Linked DNA regions of Drosophila melanogaster. The protein of the gene in region 2 interacts with the protein of the main gene of each other region in a pairwise test. Each region holds a gene or a part of one and is shown on either strand. Other genes may lie near its edges.

Region 1 (5,647 bases), about 15 Mb from region 2:
GATCGCGCCAATATAAACTCGCTATGTGAAGCCCTGAATTGCATCGTGGAGGAGCGCCAAAGCCAGTCCAACTTTATGCTCATCATCATCACTCACGACGAGAATTTCGTTTCGTCTCTGGGCAAGATAACCTCCTACCATCGGGTCTTCCGCAACGAGGAGTGCAAGTCGGTTATACGGAGAGTGGAGGCGGGTCCATCAAAGAAAGCTTTGATAGATCAATAAAAAATATTATTTTTGTTATCAATCTATGTTTGCTTGTCTAGTCATCAAATCAGTTATAGACGGGGACAATTGGCCGCGCAGGTGTGGTAACAAAGAATGATGGGTTTAGTTTTTAGAAATGGCCAATACGTGTGGTCTGTTGCTGCTGGCAATACTTGCTTATGCAGAAGTTGCATGCCACTCCGTACAATTTGGCATGCTGCACTTTCTAGCTGTTCCCATATATGAGACTGAAATATTCACCACTGAATTTGTGGATTTCGTAGACGTGAAGTACACACAAAAGGTATTTTAAATATATTACTTTAAATAAAGTGGAAGATCTCTTAGGTATTTTTGTACAGGGTAGCATGTGCTTTCATATAAACATGATATTGGTCATCGATGAAAGTGAAATGGAATGGAAAGGCCAGGCGTCCGTTCTGTCCGGCGGTATTGGTTACAACTTCACTATCTTAAGACTAACATTTAACCAGCCAGAGGTTGCCAAAGTCACAGTAGTCATTTACGGGATCCCCAGGTAGGAACTGCACAGCAGATATTTATCCTAGATCCTAATCAGTCTTAGTCTTGTTTGTTCGTAGGGACATTCCAGTGGTATCCGTCTTCCGGCAGATCGCTGCGAATCAGTGGGGACAGCCACGCTAAATGCATGCGGTTTCCAAAAACGCTCCTTAGATTTTGATACACTCCTCTGTCGTACTTTTCTTTGCTCTCCTTAGTGCGATCGGCGGAAACACCGCCCCTTAAAACAATGGGCACATGGTAGGCCAGGAGGAGGACTCCATAAGCCAGAGCTAAAATATTTAAGCTGTAGAAGACCAGGTACATGTTGGTCCAAAAACTGCCCGTTACCAGGTGTAACATGGGGCAGGCGAGTTTTAACACCGTCACCCAGTTGCTGTAGATGTGGCCGTGGATGACCCACATGTATATGGAGTTGTACACCAGTGCGTAAACTGATCCCACGAAGAGATAGAATATAAAGCCCATGAAGAAGCGATGGTTTCTGAGTCCAATGCAGCAGCCGGTGTAGATACAGTGGTGATCCCGCTTCAGAATGCACACTTTGCAGGCCTTGCAATGCCAAGATCTGGGTGGTGCTAGCTTCTGGCACTCGCCGCACTCACGCCAATTCAACTGATCCGATGGTGGTTCCACCTTTTTCACTGGAAATGGGATATGCATTTTATCGGATTTATTATAAGACCTGCTGCGACTTACCATTTACACTTGTGTCAATCATCATGCAGGCAATCATGTTTCCCTTGATGTTAAACACCAGGAACATGGCCATAAGAAAGGTGAAGGTGTGGAAGAAGCCACCCGGTTCATGGAAGGCAGGCAGCACCACCACAATCTCGAACATAAACACCACCGGGAGAAAGACCGCAATGATGAGGAAGCACAAGATGTCCACCATCCGGCTGGGCATTGGGTTGCTCCGGATTCTCATGATCTGTGCTACTAAGGTAAATAAATAGGCACCGATCTCCGATATGTCAGAAAGAGAACTAACTTGATAACCGGTTGCTGTAACATCACGTGCGGTTGAGCTTTATTTTATCAAGCTTTCGAGGCCAAAGCTAATGGGTCGCCGGTAAAAAGCTCGCTTTCTATGTTTTTGCGGCGAAAAGTTTGCGTTCAGTATGATTGAATGTGATTCATTGAACCCGAGTTCAATATAATTTGATAAACTCCAAAGCTAACCGAATTAAAGTTTGATATCAAGCGCGGGGTGGTGTAAAACTGCGGCCATGCACTTATACATGTTATCAAGACGGGCCACACGTCGTATGCTTGATGGCGTGTGCCATGAATACATACATATACATTTAAACGCCAACGGCAAGCCAGCATTGAGAATTTAATTAACTTGAAAGGATTCACTCCTTCGAATGCCGCCGTAATCGGGGTAAAACCTTAATTACATGCCTCTTTAATAAGTGTGCCGACACCTGATTGCTTGCGATATCAAGTATTTATGCAGGTGTCAAGGGTCATTAAGTAAACAGTTCGCTATGGAACCGTCGCCGTCAGCCGGAACGGAAAGGCAGGGATCCTCGTTATTTCTGCTGAAGAGCTTCGTCAGGAGTCTGCGGCAGTTCCTCAACCAGACTAGTCTGCATGGACTCAAGTTTGTGGGCGATTCCGGCCTGAGTAGCTGGGAGAGGTGGGAAAGGAGCACATCCAAGTGCGGATTTTGAGCTACATTTGCAAAACCCTTTTTAGATCGTTTTTCCTTGGCTCCTTTGTCACCGCCCTCATCATCACGGTGCACCTCATATCGAACATCTATGTGAAGTGGGATAGCACGCCGGTTATAATCGGCATCAGCCCACAGGCCACCTCCATTTTGAAGGTTCCTTTTCCGGCAATAACCATATGCAATATGAACCAGGTGCAGAGGAGTCTGGTAGCCAATTACAGAGAGTAAGTTCGGTTTTCCTCTAAGGCAATCGTCCATCCATCATTTTGAAATTAAATTATGTTCCAGGGGCTCCAATGAAAGTGCCCTTCTGAAGCTATTATGTGAATCGGATAGCTGGGAATCCAGTGAGGCTGATGAGGAGTTCTCCGCTTCGAATTTTGTCACGAACAACCTGAAGATATCCGAATTTGTTTCAAATCACTCGCAGTCCTGCGAGAGAATGTTGCTTTTTTGTAGATTCAGTGCCGTGGAGCGAAACTGTTCGCAACTGTTTCAGCAGATCCTGACGGATGAGGGCCTGTGTTGCGTCTTCAATTTTCAACCACCGGAATATCTCTACAAGCCATTGTAACTAGATGGGTTCATTAAATTAAAATAATTGATTTATTGTTTTGACAGTGCAAATAACAACCGGAACTTGACGAACTCTGATGGGTTTGAAAGTGTTATGTGGGATCCGGAGTCAGGATATCCGGAACAATTGCCCCCCAAGTTCTATCCAGCCACCGCTAGTGGTAAAATATCAGAGAATCGTTAATGAATAGAGTATTTCAAATATGTACTATAGGCACTGGTATCACCTTGGGATTTACTGCCGTACTTGATGCTGAGATGGGCGAATACTATTGCTCTTCGACCAATGGACCTGGTTTTAAAGTAAGCCTTTAATATACATACTGCCTTTACCCATCATACCCGCCATTTCCAGGTTTACTTTCACAATCCCATCGAAGTTCCCAAGGTGAAGGAGGCGGGCCTCATCTCAGCCATTGGCTACGAAACCAACTATCGAATTGAGATGGTTCGTGCCGAGGCGGTTCCGGCCATTCGATCTATATCCCGCGATGGCCGGCAGTGCCTGTTCAAGAACGAGAAGGAGCTGATCTTTTATCGTATCTATACGCGACTCAACTGCGAGAACGAGTGCCTGGCCGCATTCCTCTACGACACCTGCTCCTGCATTCCGTTCGACCATCCGCTCATCTACAGCAACGCCAGCATCTGCTCCATGGGGGACACGTCCTGTGTGCGACGGGCACAGAGGGCGTCCAATCGACCTGGTTGGGCCAAGTGCCGCCAGCAGTGCCTGCCCAGTTGCTTCGATCTCAACTACTTGGCCAGTGGCTTCTCCTTCCCGCTGGCCTCCAACAACTTCCAGCTGGCCAACGCGCTGGTGGAGAGCTTCAACAAGTCCTATCTCAGCAAGAATATTGCCGTGATAAACGTTTATTTCCGGGAGTCGGTCTACTATGGAAACACCAAGAATGCATACGTGGGATTGACAGAGTTCTTGTGTGAGTAAATACTATTTTCAAGTTACAGGAACATAGGGATCTGTTAAATTAGTCATTAGCTCAATGGGCTCAATTTATTCAATCCATTAGATTTAGTGACTAGTTCTATCATTTCAGCAAACGTCGGTGGTGTAATGGGTCTGTTCATGGGCTTTAGTGTCATCTCCCTGGCCGAGATCCTATACTTCTTGATCTTAAAACCACTCGCTGAGCTTTTCGTTTGGAAGAGGTCATCTCATGTGGACTCAGAGAAGAGCCTCAAACACAATGCCTTCGGTATTGAAAAAGGACAATCTTCAGACAACCCCAGTTTCTGGCACTCAAAAGAGCTGTATCCCAAAGGTGTTTCAATAAGTGCCTACGAAAATGCTAAAAGTACGAAAGGATTAAATTACCAATAAATTACAACACACGAGAAATTATGTGTATGTAATCCGGAGTAGGAAAACAAATGTAATCTGTCAATGCCAGTAATGAAATAAAAGAGAAAAACATTATGACTGGAAGCTAGTTTATGGTTTTCAATTTCATTTTATCAGCAACAAAGGCCGGAATAATTGATTTAAATCGGAACTAAAAGCGATTTATATTTAAGTACTGCATTTGGAACAAAACATTCTCAATCATTTGTTAGCAGATTAATTTAAAGTGAGAAATAAACAATTAATATCCTGCAGGATGTTCAATAATTACCTTTTATTGAACTAAACATAACTTTCTTGAAAGTAAGTTACAGCGCGGTGTTAAAGACTCGATTCAATTCCAAACTGAACTTTTTGACTCGGTTAAACAGTCTTAAAGTGGAAAGTTTGATATGCACATGAGCATGCGAACTCCTTCACTGCCCCATCAACTTTTTCCCAAAGGAACTCCCGCAGCTGGAGCAGATGTGCCCGAGTGAAGGTCGGTAATGGAATACCCTAGCGCCTAATGCAATTAACCAAGTTTCCCGGTTATGGGGACAGCCCTTGCTTTAGTTTTTGCGTTCGTTTGTGTTAATGCCATATATTTTATGCCAATAAGAGCATTTTGGGCGAAATTACTTTTGGCCAAGGCAGCCAGTCAGTCCTAGCCTAAATGCGGGTGCGTAAGTTCTTATATGCCAGCAGTACATTGTACGTATTCCGGCAGTAAAACAAGAATAGCTTCGAACCACCCCAATCCGCCCGGCCTTCCGCATCCACATCCTCTAGAGCACTTGAAGATGGCACATTTCTGCGTCGTCTTGCACTTGGTACATCGTGCTCCGGTTTCTGAGCGTTAATTGCTGACCTCAACCTGCACATAAAGCGACTAATTTCGCACGGCCCCGGTACACAGCTCGTCCTGCATAACTGTATGAATTCTGCGGCACAGTTTTCTCTGCAGCATCCTCTGCCATCCATCATGGTCCTCCATCTGAGTGGGATGGAGGTCTTAAACAGCCGTAGGAGGAGGCCGAGTGGGAGTGGGAGGAATGGTGCCTAAGCAGCAATGGCGGCAGGAGCAAAAATGGAATGAAATGCATTCGCACAGTTGAAGACAATTTGCGAAATTGCATCGCTCTTGATGTTTTCACGTGCATTCCATCTGGTGTTTTTACGGCAAGTCAACAATGTGCTGTTGGCCAACAGTGTGCGCCATGGCCATAAGTCGTTCGATTCAGCGGATATCTCACTGGAGAATTTAATAGATTCCCCTCTTAGTCTGCTTATTC
Region 2 (5,741 bases):
TTAAATTTCTTCATTTGATTCTTTAAGTTGACAAAGTGATTAACAAAGTGAATAATCAAGTCTTATACTTGCATACAAATTAATGAAATTCACAATCAGACGGATATGGCTAGTTTAAAAACGTAGCTGATAAAAAAAACAAACGTTAATCACCTTTATCTTGTTTTTGGCATAATTCTTAAGGTGAAAAATGTATCTTTTAGCTGCGTTAATACTGCGAGTAACTACACATTTATTTGGATAAATAATAAATCATTTGTAAATAATAGTTTGTTGTATTTCCTTAGTTTATTCTCTAAATGATCTTTTATTCACTCCAACTTAGCCTTGCTAAAATGTGAACTTGTGTGCATGTGTGCCCCCTTTGAAGCTCATTTTGGGCTCATTACTTATATTACAAAACACTGATAATGTCAATCAACTGATAAAATTCTGTATGTCCGTCCACACTTGCATTACAGATAGATATTATTATCTATGCCAGCACATTTATATGAATAATAGTGTTAAACCTTGTGACTCAAAGACAATCGAAAGGAAGCGACCGATGCGTAATTTATGGATTTTCAAATTTCATTTCACTTGTTTTAAATAATACATGTTCGATATTTGTTGCACAAATATTTATTGCATATGACTTGATTAATGAATGACAGAAGTCAGCTAGAAGGTCTTATATGCAAATAAATAAACATCTACAGTTTGATAAATAAATTAACATAATTAATGGACATTTTTTGGAAGTTCATTATAACACAAGTAATTGGAGAGTATGAAGTTATCCATAATTGGAACCTATTTGGGATCTGCACCCAGTAGTGTTTGGTCTATTGTTACACGTCTCATTACATTATTAATTCCTTTTACTTAGATACTCAACCGACAAGCACTTACCAAAAACACGATATTGACAATATATAAAATAAAGTTGACTATTCCCGATAGACAACCCATTTTGAAAGTATATAGTTTGCTCCTGTATTTAGTAGAATTAAATAAACACTATTGTTTTATCCAAAGGAGTTGTCGGTGTCTCTGATTTTATCGCGCACTCGCGTCGTTTACTGTCGTTCGATTGGACTGCTCCTCCAGATGGGCTACTGTTTTTAAATTGGCCAACAGACACGGGCGCTATCGGAGGAAAGATACGCAAGTGCCTGTTATCATAATCATGGCCGAAACGAAAAATAGATAATGGGCACTGGGCGGCGGGCGGAGATCGATAGCCATTGCCATATGGAGGTGATTCACCACTACTGAGGGCATTCGATCTCGGAAACGCGGCACTCGGCTAACAGGCCGATAAGGACATACTTTTTGGAAAAACATCAACCTGTCTTGATTAGATAGACGGCAGCCAGAGGTAGACAGCGAATAAGCAATAATATTTCATTGGGCTTAACCTATTCTGGTTTATTTACGGTGAGTGAGTGAGTGAGGAATTCGTGTGTTGGATTTATGCTATGAACTGGGCTACGTCTAAGGATTGTATCTGACTTCGGCTCTAGCGCTTCCTCATCGCGCTGGCCAGGCAGCACGACATGATGAAGATGCCCAGCTCGAAGAGGGCGATGATCAGACTGCTCCATCGAATCAGGTCCGTATTGGAGGCCCAGAAATCGACGAACTCCTGCCGGCAGCCAGGTCGCTGGCTGTAGATCTCCGCTTCGCACACCTTGGTGCGATCCTTGTAGCCGCAGCAGGAGCTGGGCACGGTTTCATACTGTTGGTATCCCGTGTTGCCACAGCAAGAGAACTGCAATGGAATAGATACGTAAATATCCGGAAAAAACTAATGACATCTGATGGTGAATTTCGATAAACTTACGGCCAACTGGAGGGCATCCATGGGGTATCCCTGGGCGGCATTGTTCTCATCCCACGCCTTGTCCACTGCCTTGCCCATGCTGGACAGGAACTTGTCGTTGGCCGCGAAGATCCAGATGGAGAGGGCCAGTTGCAGGCCGAACAGAATCAGCATGCAGATGGCGTACTGAAAGGAATGCCAAGTCATTTAGAATCCAATTTCGGTCAGTGGGTGATTTCCGAGTGCTTACGATGGTGGTGCAGCAGGCGTTCTCGCGAATGGTGCCGCAGCATCCGAAGAAGGCCACTACGAAGGTGACACTTCCGATGACGATAATGCAGATCGGGATGGTCTGGGTGTTAACGCCTCCGTCGAAGGCCGTAAAGTTGCCCATCGTGGAGAGCATGATGGAGCCCACCACAATGAGCAGGATGCCACCGGCCACGAACACCAGGTTGAGCAAGTACAGCAGGTACTTGAACATCGCGGATAGACAGTTCATGGTGCTGGGTTCTGTTCGGGTTTCTCGTTGGCTAGCTGGATAATCCGTTCGTTCGATGTGACGATGTTCGTCTAACTGAATGGGCCCTCGGACAGAACGCGGCTATTAAAGCTTACTCGGAGTCCTCATCTTATCGGCTGCGCTCTTATCTCGGCCATAAAATTCCGTATGTACTTGTGCTGGAAGCTCCGATGCCCATGTACTTGTACTTGGTGAATCGCTTTGCACCCACGAGATACCAGATCATTGTGGTGGTCCGAACCTGGGAAATTACATCCTTGGCGCAATGATTCATTCAACGAATGGTAGGTGCAAACTGCTGGTGGCGGAATTTTATCTAGCCCTCGTGCGATTCCATCTTGGGGGCGTTAGATCGTTCATAAGATGAATCATTCACACCCTCCACACCTTGCCTTATCACCAGTCAAGAGTACGCGGTGCACGCTGACTCACATATTACGTTGCTTGGAGTCCGTTTCCCCGTGAGTCCCCGATCTTATCGCCTAGATTTATGTACTATCAATCGAGCAATAAACCTTTTAGCGAGTGCACTCCCAGCCTAACTTCAACAAGATTTTGGCAACTATTGGGGTTTCCACGGCGGAATAATTTCCCATTGACATTCACAAAACGGCTATGTGCCCTTCATAGATAAAATAGCTCAATGGAGATAAGATTTCGTCTGAGCCCTAAAAAGCTAACTAACTAAATATAGTCTTCTGATAGGTTAGTTCTACGGAAATATGTCAATAGAGCCAATGATTGATAATGATCTGTAATCAAAGTGTACTTGTTGGTTTCGGCCAACTCTATTTATACTTATTACTTTGCAGATTAAAACGTTATCGCGAATGGCCGAAATCCTCCCGTGGCAATTTAGAAAAATAGGTGCTTTAGGGATTAAGTCGAATTGCAAACAATGTAAGCTTTCCCATTAAGACAAAGACTGAACTCTTTTCGTAAATTGTAAATAAATTTCTCCGTTTATTGCAATCTCCAGGAGTATAAGTTATTTTGTACAGTTAAACATATTAGCACATTCAGTGTAACTTTGAACAAACGATCTTACAAAAGTGATCGTTACGCATTCGTCATTGGATTTGCTGCATTTGCTGCTTACGCTTGAGATTATGCAAATTTGAATGGCCATCTGTATCAGGTAAATATTCGTAAAATTGGGCAACATAATTCGTACTTTCGGTTTCAATTAAAATTAGTGCAAGGCCTTAGTCCTTTGTCGATTAATATTCCGCACGGCGTCTATAGTTCCGAATGCTGTTCGCCAAGCAACAGGCGAAAACGAATCCCACAAACTGAAAGCAAACAGAGTATGGTATATTGGAAGATATACATGTAGGTGTAAATCTCATAACGCTTATGGTAAAATAACAAACTAAACTGCATTGCTACGAATTATGATTTACATTACTTAGTACTTTTTGGTTATCCCCAAGAAATCACAATGGAAGGTAGGTAACATGAACCCATCCATCATATTTTCGAAATTCACATGGGGAAGCACCTAGATTCGATGATCGATTTCGTTCGATTGCGTTACTCTGGACAATAACTTACTTCGATGGCGGCGATGACCAGACCGGCATACTTGATGATGTCGCTGTTCCTGTCCCAGAACTCAACGAAGGTGACCTTGCATCCCCGCCGGTAGACGGTCTCCCAGCGGCAGTTGTTGGTGTCGCTGCAGCAGGAGGGAGGGAACTTGCCCTGGTAGGCGTAGTCGGTGTAGCCACTGCGTCCGCAGCATTTCATCTGCGGGAGCGGCAGAAAGTCAGTTGAAGGCGGGTCACATGTCCTTGGAAGTCCCTAAATACTTACGCTGATCTGAATCGCGTCCATGTAGTCGGAACGACTGGTGCGATGGTTCCAGGCCTTCTCGACCACGTCGCCCATGATCTCCAGGTACTTGTCCTTCTGCACCCACATGTAGATCACCAAAGCCAGTTGGCCAATCATCAGGACGAACAGCAAGATCGAGTACTGCCACAAAGAATACATTTTGAATTGCAAGATGAATGGCACGATGCAGGATCAGTACTCTACCGTCATGGACATGCAGTAGGATTCCCGAATGGCTCCGCAGCAGCCGAACCAGGAAATCAGCAGGATGATGGTGCCCAGGATGATCATCGTTACGGGCACCTGCTGGGTTCGCAGGGCTTCCGCGAAGTCATCCATGTTACGGACTTTGCTGAACAGCAGAGCTCCGAATACGATCAGCAATATGCCGCATATCTGAGGAAGGGAAATGTTGAGTTTATCAATCCTGAGCCAACCAGGGTTGTCTAATCTAACTAAACTTGAATTCTCAAGCCCTCAGATTTTGACAGAAATTGGTCAAAAACAATCACTTCATATCCGTTTTATATTGGACTTACTAATCATGTAATAAATTAATACAGTTCTAAGTTATTTATGATTTAATTTGATCAAATGATTTGACAAGATTTGCGATACCAAATCGCCTGAAGAATATTCATCCATATAAATGCTGGCTGGGATATCATTAGCTTTTTTGTTTCATTAAAAAGCTTGTAGGCGTTAAAAGCTCATGCCTGTTGTTCGACAAATAATATGCACTGCGAGAAACTGGAACTACTTCCAGGGACATGCATTTCAATATTTGCGATATGGCGAAATCACCTGCTTTATTATTAAAACTACTTTCTATTATTGCCCAGTTCTTCGGCGATTTTCGTTTATAGAGTTTCAGATTGGCTATTTGCATGGCTATCACAAGCTTATCTCTTATCAATCCGATTCGCTTCGTTAATTAAGATTATGCATAAAAGCGCCTGGCCATCGACGATAACTATTAAAAACATATTTACTTTGGCTTTGATTGTATCAGTTGACGTAGTCATTAGATTAGATCCACCCCCAGCCAAACTATAGTTCATAAATTCGTAGGATTGCGCCAAACTGCAGCATGACTCAGCCGCCGAGCTCAGCGGTTCGTGGGATCAGAATAGTTAGCATCGCATCCGATCAGAAGAGAGCGACATTTCGACACTGGTCCACAATTATAATAATAACCAGTCCACCCACTCGCATTCGTCTGGCATTTCTAGATCGCCCTCCCTCGGAAAATTGAGTTCAAGTGTACCGCCAACGACCCCCGTGTTTCCATTCCATGATGTGCGTGTGTAGATGATATTTCGTTGTTTCCGAGTTTTGGCTCGTCGTCTCACAATGGGAGCAAGTTCACATTAAATTAAGTCAACTATTTTTGGGTGAGACCCCCTTCCCCCCCCCCCCCCCCCTCTTGAACCATTACACAACTTTCCACTGAAGTGGCGGCAGACTTTACACACAGACAAAATATTTGTATGTTTCCATGTTGGTTCTTAAGTTAATTGCAGCTACTTTAAATTATCAAAAAGGTTGGAGAACTGCGGATTGGAACTCTTGAAC
Region 3 (6,151 bases), on a different chromosome or scaffold from region 2:
AAGGAGTCGATGGAGCACGATGCGGACAACACCTCGCATGCCATATCCTTTGATGTGCGCTCCACCAACGATGTCAGGCGGATTTTCGATCCCATCAGCTACTCAAAGGGCACCATTCTGCTGCGCATGCTCAATTCGATCGTGGGTGATGTGGCCTTCCGGTCGGCCACTCGTGATCTTCTAAAGAAGTTCGCCTATGGAAACATGGACAGAGATGATCTGTGGGCCATGCTCACGCGCCATGGTCACGAACAGGGTACTCTGCCCAAGGATCTGAGTGTCAAGCAGATCATGGACTCGTGGATCACCCAGCCCGGTTATCCGGTAGTCAATGTGGAGCGCCGTGGTGCTGATCTCGTGCTGCGCCAGGAACGCTATCTGCTGCCCTCCAAGAACACTGCGGATCAGAGCACCTGGTTTATACCCATCACCTTCGAGACGGATGAGTTGCGCAAGGGCGACAACATACCCACCCACTGGATGAGAAGCGAGGACGAAGAGGAGCTCATCGTGGGCAATGTCTTCGCGCATAGCAGCAACAGCGATAACGTGATCTATCTGAATCTCAACCGGCAGGGTTACTATCGTGTCAACTACGATATGACCTCTTGGCTGGCGCTCAAGAAGAACTTTAGCACATTGCCCAGGATCACAAGGGCCCAGTTGCTGGATGATGCACTGCATCTGTCGCAAGCGGAATACCTTACCTACGACATACCGTAAGTTTGAGAAGTAAGACAAGTAAATGAAATTATTAACATAAAAATACGTTTGCCTTTAGATTGACCTTCCTCATGGAGCTGTTCGATGCTGTGGATGATGAGCTGCTGTGGATTGCCGCCAAACCTGGTCTCAACTATCTGATCTACAACCTGAAGAGGGAGCCTGCCTATGAGACTTTCAGGGTAGGGAATCCAGTAAAACTAGTAAATTTTAGAGTGTTTTATAATATATTTTGTTTAACCAGGCCTTCATGAAATTCATCGTACGTCCCGCCTTTGATCATTATGGCCTGCATGAGCCGGACAATGAGTCCCACTTGCAACTGAAGCACCGCGCCTTGGTGGCCTACTTTGCCTGCAAGTTCAACTACGATCGCTGCACCCAAAAGGCGCAGATGAAGTTCCGCGAGTGGATGCGTGATCCCAAAAACAATCCGTAAGCTTGTAACTGAAATACAATACAAAAACTTATTAAAAACGATGCAATCATAAATCAACAGCATTAAGCCAAACCTCAAGTCTGTGATCTACTGCACCTCCTTGGCGGAGGGCTCGTCACCGGAATGGTATTTCGCCTACAAACAGTACAAGACAACCACGAGTGCTTCCGAGAAGGAGGAGATACTGACCTCACTGGGCTGCACCACCAAACCCTGGCTGCTGTCCAAGTGAGTAACTACAACAGTTTGATCCATCAAAGACCAAAGACTGATGTGCAACAACTTTGTAGGTACCTCAACATGACCATCAATCCAACATCGGGCATACTAAAACAGGATGGCGCCTTGGCCTTCCGTGCTGTGGCCTCCAATGCCATTGGTCATGAGATAGCCTTTGATTTTCTGCAGGGCAACATAAAGGAGATTGTCGAATAGTAAGTGATACTTTGTGTGATAGGTTGAATGTATATATTAATTTAGTTATGTTCAATTGCACCATAGCTATGGCGATGGCTTCTCCACGCTGTCCGAGATGATCAAATCGCTGACCATCTACATGAACAAGGACTACCATAAGCACCAGCTTCTGGACTTGGCCGCTACCTGCCGCAAACTGGGACTCCATGCCGTGGAATCGGCCATCGAGTTGGCGCTGGAGCAGGTGAACAACAACATCTATTGGCGCAGCCACTCGTACCACAGCCTGAAGAACTTCCTTGAGGGGATCGTCAGCGAGTTCCAGATCAATATCTTTTAGGAGAACACATGGAAGTTGGAAATGGGGGAGAACTCAAATTGATTTCAACCAAAAAATGCGATTTAGTTATTGTAACTATTACCATTATTTGTATTCGTGCAAAGGCCTCAAATTAATTTAATCAAACGAATTATTTGCGAAAAGTGATATAAACGTGTAAGTTAGCCAGCATAATTTAGGTAAACGATTTACTTTTTGCAATTGTATATTTATTTATTTGTAAGTCTCGCTTCTTTTGCTTTGCGGCATTGCTCTGCAACGTTCCTACTAAAAAATAGAAAGCAATCGGAAAATGCATAGTTCGAATAACTCCCATTCATCACTTCAGGCAACAGTTTAAGTCCACAACACAATATCTGCCACGAAATATCTAAAGTTTAAAACCTGTATTATCTATATCTATATCTATACTTATGATTGTCAAGTACTTTGTGTTGTTCGCACACCTTTAGATCCTAAGTGAATCAATCTAGCACTAAGTGAACCAAAAATCTATTTTGTAGTCGATCCAATCAAGGGACTTAATGGTCCTGGAAGGAAACTGAGCATGGGAAGATAATGAAACTGAGTGTCCTTAGTACATGGTTTAAATTGTTTGCTAAAGCAAGAGTAGTACACAACACACAACACACAAGTAATATATTTATTCATGTACGCGTGTAACTATTATGTATTTTGTAAAGCCCAACACAAAAATACTTGTATTGCTGCTGCACAACCATGTAAATAAGTTTTAAAGCTTACACTAAACACTTAAATAAACTATGTATTTACGTAATTTTATTCAAAACTCTTCTTTAATTACTGCTTATAAACTTTGATTTATTTTGGGAGTTTTGAATTTGGCGGTTAAGAAGAAATTAAATCAACTGCTTATGCGGCCCTGAAATTCAGTATTTTCAACAGAATGGTCACACTTTATAAATATATGAATAAATTGCACTTGATGGCAACCCTAAACATTGGTTTTCAAGAATTTTCTGGGTTTCATAAAACGGTCTTACTATCAACTAAATTTTTGTAAACAAATATTAACACAGCTTGTATATTTGAAAAAGTAAGTATATAACGAAATTAGCAACAAAATAAGACAAATTAGGTTACCTAATAAATAGCAGACCTCATCTTTGACTTTTGTGGTATCAATCAGTCGAATACTTTGGTGTTTTCCTGACACCCGAGATACTAGGCTTTGTTTTGAAATCCCTAGTTCAAACTCAAACTTTATGCAATTTCATCTAGTGAGCAGAAGGAAATGGGACGCTTCCGAAGAGGACAGATTCATCGACATCTGGATCCACAACTTGCATCTGTTTGAGCCTGGCAAGAAACTGACAGAAACCTATGCGGAACTGGAGCCCTATTTTCGAGATGTTGGCGTAGAGATCAATGTTCAAGGCATAAAGTCGAAAATGGAATCCCTGAAGCGGAAGTATTTCAAGTCAGTACACAACTTTCAGATGAAGAATCGGTTTGATAATCTCTGGGATTTCAGTTTGTTACACTCCGACCAGGAAGACCAAGCTATCACCTGGAGGCACTTCGATGCGATGGCTTTGGTGGTGAGAGCATCTGCCAACGAGGGGAAGGATTCGGAATGGAAGGACTATACGCAGCCATCAAAGACGCCTCGTAAGAGTCCATTGAATTCCAACAAGGAAAATGTATCTAATCAAAGACTTCGAAATTTCAGATAAAACGCGCTCTTCTGTTTATATGAACAATCCCGCACAACGTATCAAATATGGTTCGAAATTCATAAAAGTTTAAATTGTATACATTCTAAGCGGTTTTCATTTCTTTATAGAGACACCATTCAAAACCGTCTTCGTGGATGAAAGTGCTGTGAACTATTTTGACGATGAGGAAATGCCCAACGCCAAAAGAGTTAGGAAAAGATTCGGCAAAACCAGCAATGTCAGAGTAAAGGCGCGAAGAGTTTGGCAGCCGGCGGAGGAATGCATATTCGTTGATGTGTGGGAAAAGTTCGCCAGTCACATACAGAGTGATAGGAAAAAAATGGATGTCTACAAGGATATGCATAATGAACTGCAGCTGCGTGGTGTTGGCATATTACCGGGCGATATCAAATCCAAAATTGAATCACTTATGCGCACGTTTAGGTAAGAACTTTATAAGCTTATTATGCTGTTATAATACATTACCAATAATTGCAGAGCACAGCGAGATTCGGTGGGAGATAAGTCCGAGTGGATTCATTATTCGAAGATTTTAAAGATCCAGACTCCTATTGATTTCACCAAGCTGGATGTATTTTCCGAGCACAGTAGCAGCTACGAAGACGATGCGTCCTGGTTCAAAGAATTGGAGCCGAAACCGGATCCCGATCCTATCAGCCATCCACCGAGCTCTAGCGATTCCGTTGTCAATCAGTTTGACAATAAAACTCAGCCGAGCTCTCCCGCGTGCAGTGAAGACTGTTTTTGGTCTGATACTGAACCTAGCCACTGCAAGGTGTCTATTGAAGTGTTGGACCAAGATGAATCGACAAAGCCGTTCGAATCTCCCTCCATTGAAAAGCATAAGGCTGCTGAAGAATTTAGTCAATTTGTAACAAAAGAGCTAGCCGTCTTGAATGATGATTTGCTAATCGAAGCAAAACGCCAAATATACAATATCATATGTGTCTTGCAGAAGAAACAGAATGAAGTAAATAAAAAAGCATAGTGACCAATTAAACGTATCTTTTTTCGTACTTGAAATTAAAAAAAAAATCAAAGGTTCTACCGAGATTTGAACTCGGATCGCTGGATTCAAAGTCCAGAGTGCTAACCATTACACCATAGAACCGCGTTGGCAGCCTGGCGCAAAACAAAACATTTACTGCCGCCAGATAACACGAAACAATTATCCTATTTTGGACACTAAAATTTTAAATAAACATTTATCCGTGATATTTATTTTTAAAGAAAAGTTTCTAAGCATCAAATCTTTATATGAAAAAAAAAAATAAAAATTAATTCGAGCAGGTTCTACCGAGATTTGAACTCGGATCGCTGGATTCAAAGTCCAGAGTGCTAACCATTACACCATAGAACCTTGATACGAGCCACGCTGCTAAATGACACTTTTGTGCTGCGGGCACACTTATCTTTGGTTCTTTGGTGTGTCAAGAAGGGGGTTGAAGATAAGGAAACGATAGTTGATTCAAAATAGAGTGTTTTAATTTGGTTCAATACGTTCAGTTAAGTATTTAGAACATTTTTAAAACAAGCTAAACCTTAAACTTACATTGGCATTTTAAGGGTATCGAATGAGCACAGATGTTTGTTGCCAAGCAAGCCGGTAAAAGTTTGTTTGATCGATATACACAATATTGAATTAAAACATCGAGCTGCTCCTTTATTTATTTGATATTGTAAAGCCGAAAAATGGAAAAGGAAAAAAAGAAATCTCTTTTGGAAAGATACAACATACCAATTCACTATTTGGACTTCGCCCACGTGGAAAAGTGCACAAATGCTCGCGAAATGGAGAAAATCGTCCAAATCCTGCGCTCCGGCGAGGAAGGACATTATCCGGACTTGCAACGCTGTGCGGAGGAAAAACTGAAGGCACTGAAACCGGATAGCAAGCTATTTCGCTATGAGGAACAGATAAAGCAAAGCACTGACCTGGACAAAACCGAACTAAAGCCCATTCTGGTAGGTTGTCTACTTCATTTCAAATAAATATTTATGGATTAACCTGTATTTATACCTTAGGATTGGACTGACGCCATAAAAACAAAGGACAATGCTCTCAATGAGCTGAAGAAAGTTAAGCAGAATTTGAATCTTCCATCTGTGCGTAAACTTTCGAAAATCGATTTGGAGAAGGAAAGTAAAACTGAAAAACCCAAGCCAGCGCCAAAGGCTACATCTCCGTCCAATACCAAGAATAAGGAGGCTCGAATCAAATCCACCGATTACAGAAAATGGGATAAGTACGATCCCGATGAGGAGATACTGCGCATGGATTTGAACGAGGAACGCGACCAGGAGCAAAGAGAGAAAATCATTTCCAATCACAGTAAATCGGTTACCACGGATAAGCTACAGAGCGAAAGAGATTCTCTATATGAACGCCTCCAAGCACAGCTAAAGAACCTAAGCCAGCTGGAGAAGGAGCAATTTGCTGAAAGGTAGATATATCTTAATGCTTTATTATATGTTTTATATATTTTTGTTGTTGTTAAAGACATCGACTGCGTGGCAATGAGAGCTTCAAGG
Region 4 (6,414 bases), on a different chromosome or scaffold from region 2:
GCACGGAGCAGGCCAGTTCCTGGCCATGGGCGGTCATCTTACCGTGCAGCTCGAATCCGCGCCGGATGCAGGCGACATCCTTTTGCCGCAGCCGCTTAATGGCGCACAGATCGTTGCAACTATCGCCCACATAGATCAAGCGCTCGTATCGCCCGCTGCACGTCAGCTCGTCCATCACGGAGCCCTTGCACATGTTGGAGGGGCAGAGATCGCAGTCAGTCTGCTCTTGGTAGGGCAGCACCAGCAGTTCGCCGCTCGCTTGGACGCATGCGGGATTGGTGAACACGCCGCCGGCAAAGAGGCACTCAATGGCGTACGCCTGCAGCCACTCGCCGATGAAGAAGGAGTTGGCGTCGCTGACGATGCACAGTTCGAGCTCAGGGATCCTGGCTAATTGGCGCATCACCCGCAGCATTCCAGGCACGGCTGTGAGACTGCGCACACGCTTGCCCACCGACGCGGAGTTCACCTTGTGCTCGCCATGCAGGCGCTGCAACACTTGGCTTATGAAGCTCAGCCAGCCGCACTTGGGGATCTGGTCCTGCAGCTCCTTGCGCTGACTGGTCGGCAGTAGTTGGCTCACCGCCAAATAGGAGTCCTGCTCAACGATGGTCCTGTCGAAGTCGATGGCGACTAGGGTGCGCGGTCCAGGCGAACTGGATGCGCTCAGACCGCGTCCGAAGGGCGAAAGGCAACGGCTCAACCGGAGGCTTCTCGAAATTGCAAACATTTTGGTGTGGAAAACAAACAATTTGACTTTAATATCAATGCACACACTCGTTTAAACAGTACAGTAGATATGGGTGAACAAAGCACATCAATATCGATAAGGTAGCGCCAATATCCGAAGGTGCACGAAGTCCCATGGAAGCTGGGGGGGATCTTCGTTCCATCGACCATGCGACCGACGTGTCCGTTTGGCCGACAATGTTGTAATTATAATATAATGTGTGTATTATATGTATGTATATCGCATAAGTTTTAGATATTGTCATTGAAAAATGTTGTTTCGTTTTCCGTTGCATAAAATATTTTCCAAAAAGGTTTAAATATCTAAAATACATTCATAGTTTGTGTGTGTGTGTGTGTGTTGGTAACATGCAAAAAGCTATGCAAATGCATATGGAACAGCAAAGATCAATATACATACTTGTATGGCTTCCAACAAATATGGGTGCACTATATCGCACGTACATAAGTAAGTGTATAATTTAGCTACATGGGCGAATTCATTGGCTAACTATATAAAATGAAACAATATACCATATACCACTACTGGAAACAATCAACGTATCTCTTTCAGCTTTTGGGGATTCACATATCAATGTTGCGATCGGATGAGATACTCTGTGATTATTTCTTATTCTTAAGAATTGAGTAAATATTTACTGACTGACCAAATGGAATCCGAAGTTAGTTTGTGATTAAATTACGTTTGCTTCGCGCGGAAGTTTTGATATTGTAAACCTGGCAATCAGTTTATATCCGATACGAGATCGGATTCCCAAGAGGGAACTAACTAAGCTAACTGCTTGCGTTTCAAAAATCTCAGCTTGGTGGAGGAGCTATTCAGCAATGGGACCAATTAACTTATGTTTCAACAGCGTAACCGAAGCCCAACTTCTCCAATGACCCATAGAAACATAACTTAATGCCCATATATGTATATATGTAGGACATCAATGTTGGCCAGCACTGATAAGCACTGATCAATCAATCCAAGCCTCCATTGCTTTTTGTTTAGGTGGGCGATTGCCGTTCTTTGCCAGCCGACAAGGGAGTCCAATTGTCCCGTCTCTGATGATGCCATCTCGCTCTATTTCCAGCACGCTGCACCTAAACCGTGGTCTGCACGTTCTGCACGGCCTTCGAGAGCTCCACCTTGGAAGGTATCAGATAAAATGCAGGCGTCATCGTCTCCCCGCACGGACACTTGCAGGCTGCAATAAATTAGGAGGAATGAGTGGGGGGCGGGATTATCGGCTGGTGGAGCAGCATAGCCAACCGTTGATCCAGCTAAAGTTTCCCAATTTCTGCTCGCACTTGGGACAGTACAGGCGGCCCTGGGTGTTCAGCATGATGCGGTGCATCCAGGCGATGGGCTCCACAAACAGTATGCTGCGGCAATAGTTTGGCGTGCTTTCGTGGCCGGGTGAACCGAGTGATGACTGGCGGATGCGCTCGGACAGCTGCTCCAGCATGCGAGCACCATGATGATTTTCGGCCTGATCATGTGACTGAGCCGGCAGCTTAGCTGCAGCGACTTCTTCTTTCTCCTTGGGTACCACCTCCTGCGGCGGCCTGTCACGCGGCTTGTGCTCCAGTACATGCGACTTGGAGGCGAGGACGCGGCGGCAACGACGACAGCGGAACACTATGGGCTCCGGGTTCTCGCGCGTTATATCTGGATCCGGACGGACCACGCTGTGGAAGCTTTGCGGCAGGATCTTGGCCTTGCGCATCTGCTCGCCAGCCAGGCGCAGGCGATGGATCTTGTAGCGCTGGCAGTTGGGGTCAATCTTGCAGCCCATGCGCCGGAAGAGCTTTAGTTGGCTGACAAAGCCAGCGTTTGGCTGGACGAAGCGCCGTTTGGCCTTGACCAGCTCGTAGGCGGGCAGGAAGTCCAGATTGTGTCGCTTCATCATGTAAGCGATCACAGTGGATGAGCTGCGACTGACGCCGAAGTAGCTGTTGGAAGGCACAAAGAGTCAGTGGCCAAATCGTGGGCCGGTCAGCCTAGGTAAGATGCTCACCAGTGCACAAGGACATTGCCCTGCTGGGCCAGGGCCGAGCTGATAAAGTCAACGCAGCCCTCCAGATGCTGCAGAATATCTTCGCGCGGCATGTCGGCAACTGAAACAGGGATTAACGCCAGTGAAGTTGTTGCACATTCACGAAGCTACCGATCTGTGTGCTTACTCTGTATATATTTGGTGGTCAGAAAGCTGGCCTCCAGAATGTGCTGCGGCAGCGGGACCGAATCCAGCGTGAGGATGTGGGTGATCTTGAAGGAGCGCAGCGTCTCCATGTGCGTCGCCGCGGTCAGGTTGCCTGGTGGTGTAAGGAAGGGTTGAGAAATGCATCGATCACAAGGATTAGAGCTATATGCTTACCTAGAAACAGGCCTGTGTCCACCTCGTCGATGCTGACCGGTCCGCCGTCGAAGTCCTCGCGCGTCAGCACCCCGGAGTCCTGGGCCTTGCCACCCCCCGCGGAGGACGAAGGCCACGCCTGCCGTTGAGACTGAGACTGTTCCATGGCCAGGCAACAGATACCAGCTGGAGGCAGAGGAAGAAGAAGAGCGAGGACAGGACCTAGCGTGGAAATGGAAGTGCTAGTAGTGTGACCGCGGCTGCATTGCGCGGTAACCGATTTGTGGGAAAGCTCGCTTCCAGGCTATCGATAACTTGCCATCGACCGCGGCGCATCTCTATTGCCGGCGAGTATAGCAATTTTATAGGAGCAATAAAAAGGATCGGATTAGCCGAGATTAAGTGATAAGATGACCACGTTGCGACCCTTCACCTGCGACGACCTCTTTAAGTTCAACAATGTGTGAGTACAGTGGATATCCACATGCGCATATCCGAGGCTAATACCAATACCGCCGTGTGCTCCGCCAGAAACTTTGACCCACTTACGGAGACCTACGGGCTGTCCTTCTACACCCAGTACCTGGCCAAGTGGCCGGAGTACTTTCAGCTTGCGGAGTCGCCCAGCGGACAAATAATGGGCTACAGTAAGTACTGCATTTCACTGTGTGCACGAGTTCCCCTATCAAGTGTGCTCTACATTCTCTAGTCATGGGCAAGGTGGAGGGACACCTGGACAACTGGCACGGACACGTGACTGCGCTGACCGTCTCGCCCGACTACCGGCGCCTTGGTCTGGCTGCGCTGCTCATGAGTTTCCTGGAGGACATTTCGGAGAAGTAATTCCAGCCCCAATTCGTTGGATATCAATACAGACTAAACGACTACTTTTTCTCGCCCCCAGAAAGCGAGCATACTTTGTGGATCTTTTTGTGAGGAAGAGCAACCAGGTGGCAATAAACATGTACACGAACCTTGGCTACATCATATACCGCACCATACTTGAGTACTACTCCGGCGACCAGGACGAGGATGCGTACGGTGAGAGCGCACAGAATTTGCATTGACTTCTAAGAGGCGCCTAACAATCGATGCTTTACCCACTTTGCAGACATGAGAAAGGCCTTATCCAGGGACGTCAACAAAAAGTCGGTCATACCGTACACGCAGCCTGTACGACTGGAACATATAGATATGAATTGATACGATATCAACCCAGTAGCGCCCGAAAACGCATTTATGTCTAACTAATCCCGATCCACCATTTGAAATGGGCGCGAGCGCATCACTTCGCAGCCCATTGAATTCTAGTTAATTTAGCAATGTAAATAACCCATAATCCCGTGATCTGCCCGGTGATAACATGCGATTCGATTATGACCGGATTCCCATCCCGCTTGCGAACCAATCCCCCGGCGCCAGTATTTGCGTGCATTATTTCCCAACCGAAACTAAGCCTGTAATTAAGTTACATGACCGCTCCGTTACCAAATTCAGCACAAATTCTCGATAATTCTATTGACTTTGAAATTATTTAAAGATTTCGTAAGCCGATGCGTAAATAACCACAAACACAAAGATTGTTCCACAGTTCTGAAGGTAAATAACGTAAGCAACTTGATTACTTCATCATCGTAAATGACAACCAGTATCTAACGCCAACGCTATGACCACCCATCTAGCCCGCACACGATCCTCTGACCATATCCAGTTTTTTTTTTGCAGATCACAATGCGCGAGCTGCGCAGACAAATGCGACACGATCACTAAGTGGAACGATTCGCGGCGGATGTGGGCATAGCCACAGCCATCGCCATCGCCATCGCCATGTGCTTTATCGACCGATTCCCATTTACTAATGTGCTGCTGCATAGAAAACCATTTTGAGAATAAAAAGAAAATAAACCCCCTGGCATATAAAGTTCAATCTGTATTTGATTGATTGATTGGAGGAAAGCTGACTTTCAACACACCTTATAATAATGTCCTTGTGGTGATGTCCTTTTTTTTAGTGCTAGCAGAAGGATAGAAAAGTTTTCGGGTTTATAATAAATACCCTGTATTATATGGGTAGCTTCCTAGCTCGACTCAGCAGCTCCTGCGCATTTGTTACCCCATTTGGGAACTGGGATTGTTGATTGATTGATTGTGCCAAAATACTGAGTGACCTTTTAAGTCCTGGCAACCACTGTTTGATCAATAGCTGGTTGGGTGTTTAGTTCGGTATCTGATTGATGGCCCATTCAGTGCGCAAAAAATGGCGAAGAAGGGAGGAGTCCAGCAGCTTCAGGCCGACCTCGCCTCGGATGAGGAGTTCGAGAAGTTCCTGCAGCGATCCGGATTGCTGGGTACGTTCTCGATGCGATGGTTAGCCATTAGTCCACCCAGTAATCTCGCTCTAATCCCTGAGTGCTTCAGTGCTCGATATATACTCCGAATGGTGCGGTCCCTGCCTCGGCATGGTGGGTAGCCTGCGGAAGATCAAGCTCGAGCTAGGAGGCGACAACCTGCAGTTGGCCATCGTAAGATCACACAGTCGGAAGCACCGAGGCGTAGCGCACTAACATCCCCATCTTTTCCAATATATGCCAGTGCAAGGCGGGCTCCATATCCTATCTGAAGCGATTCAACAAGAAGAGCGAGCCCACGTGGATGTTTGTCACGGTGAGTGATCCCATGGGAACATAATGCCAGGTGAATATGTATTGTCTTTCCTCTATGTTTATGTTTATGGACCATTAGAGCGGCAAGGCCATCAATATCATGTTCGGCACGGATGTGCCCAAGCTGGTGGCCATGATCACCCGAATGCTGCAGTCGACGATGGCCAAGGAAACGCACCTGAGCTACGAGATCACCGAGCTCCAGCCGATCGAGCTGGAGCAGCTGGAGGTGCGCAACAAGGCGCTGCGCCTGGCCGAGGAGATCGAGCTGGCGGAGAGCCGTCGGAAGCGGCTGGAGTACCTTCACAGCGTCACCGACTGCATCATGGCCAACCTGCCGGACATCGGGATCACGGTCTTCGGGCCACAGGTTAATCGCGACATGTTCAAGAAACTCTCGGAGCCGGCTGATCCGCTCAAGATTCAGTGCAAGGACCGCAAGGTATTTACCATTCTGCCTAGCGACATCGCCACCGTCAACTTTGCTGCGGAGAATCCACTGTCACCGGAGGTTATCGAGCAGCTCTACGACAAGGAGCTGCTGATGTGCTTCTGGAAGGTGGACGAGGTGCTCGGCACGCCACCGACCGTGCTCCGCCAATATGCCCACGAGCTGACCAAGGAGACCATTAAGCCGCCGGACGAGTTCAACGAGGAGG

What was found.
Region 1: the proteins of CG30160 (region 2) and CG10344 interact in a two-hybrid assay, tested with the Drosophila melanogaster proteins (one large-scale study listed by BioGRID).
Region 3: the proteins of CG30160 (region 2) and CG14252 interact in a two-hybrid assay, tested with the Drosophila melanogaster proteins (one large-scale study listed by BioGRID).
Region 4: the proteins of CG30160 (region 2) and Naa20A interact in a two-hybrid assay, tested with the Drosophila melanogaster proteins (one large-scale study listed by BioGRID).

What each region holds. Positions count from the first base shown.
Region 1 is NT_033778.4:22,425,233-22,430,879, forward strand, and holds CG10344 (uncharacterized protein), read right to left. Parts: upstream 1,746-5,647; 5' UTR 1,682-1,745; coding exon 1,450-1,681; intron 1,395-1,449; coding exon 790-1,394; 3' UTR 750-789; coding exon of another isoform or gene 570-749; 3' UTR 512-569; downstream 1-511. Other genes in the region: rad50, read left to right, coding at 1-225; CG46442 (uncharacterized protein), read left to right, coding at 344-511, 570-749; ppk12 (pickpocket 12), read left to right, coding at 2,247-2,398, 2,458-2,658, 2,723-3,004, 3,056-3,171, 3,225-3,313, 3,366-3,951, 4,069-4,352.
Region 2 is NT_033778.4:7,001,786-7,007,526, reverse strand, and holds CG30160 (uncharacterized protein), read right to left. Parts: upstream 2,371-5,741; 5' UTR 2,310-2,370; coding exon 2,058-2,309; intron 1,994-2,057; coding exon 1,829-1,993; intron 1,757-1,828; coding exon 1,505-1,756; 3' UTR 1,391-1,504; downstream 1-1,390. Other genes in the region: Tsp42Ec (tetraspanin 42Ec), read right to left, coding at 895-954; Tsp42Ea (tetraspanin 42Ea), read right to left, coding at 3,551-3,622, 3,885-4,079, 4,146-4,307, 4,371-4,562.
Region 3 is NT_033777.3:26,942,605-26,948,755, forward strand, and holds CG14252 (uncharacterized protein), read left to right. Parts: upstream 1-2,929; 5' UTR 2,930-2,975; coding exon 2,976-2,976; intron 2,977-3,161; coding exon 3,162-3,360; intron 3,361-3,414; coding exon 3,415-3,551; intron 3,552-3,612; coding exon 3,613-3,666; intron 3,667-3,726; coding exon 3,727-4,042; intron 4,043-4,096; coding exon 4,097-4,607; 3' UTR 4,608-4,644; downstream 4,645-6,151. Other genes in the region: CG46339 (uncharacterized protein), read left to right, coding at 1-719, 782-905, 968-1,158, 1,223-1,390, 1,453-1,596, 1,664-1,919; Spag1 axonemal dynein assembly factor, read left to right, coding at 5,312-5,584, 5,645-6,063, 6,120-6,151.
Region 4 is NC_004354.4:19,620,054-19,626,467, reverse strand, and holds Naa20A (N(alpha)-acetyltransferase 20 A), read left to right. Parts: upstream 1-3,393; 5' UTR 3,394-3,502; coding exon 3,503-3,555; intron 3,556-3,623; coding exon 3,624-3,739; intron 3,740-3,801; coding exon 3,802-3,931; intron 3,932-3,996; coding exon 3,997-4,133; intron 4,134-4,203; coding exon 4,204-4,265; coding exon of another isoform or gene 4,266-4,295; exon of another isoform or gene 4,296-4,700; intron 4,701-4,803; exon of another isoform or gene 4,804-4,817; coding exon 4,818-4,862; 3' UTR 4,863-5,017; downstream 5,018-6,414. Other genes in the region: CG14212 (uncharacterized protein), read right to left, coding at 1-730; MKP-4 (MAPK phosphatase 4), read right to left, coding at 1,837-1,940, 2,006-2,688, 2,754-2,853, 2,920-3,051, 3,114-3,258; CG14221 (uncharacterized protein), read left to right, coding at 5,350-5,440, 5,511-5,614, 5,685-5,756, 5,835-6,414.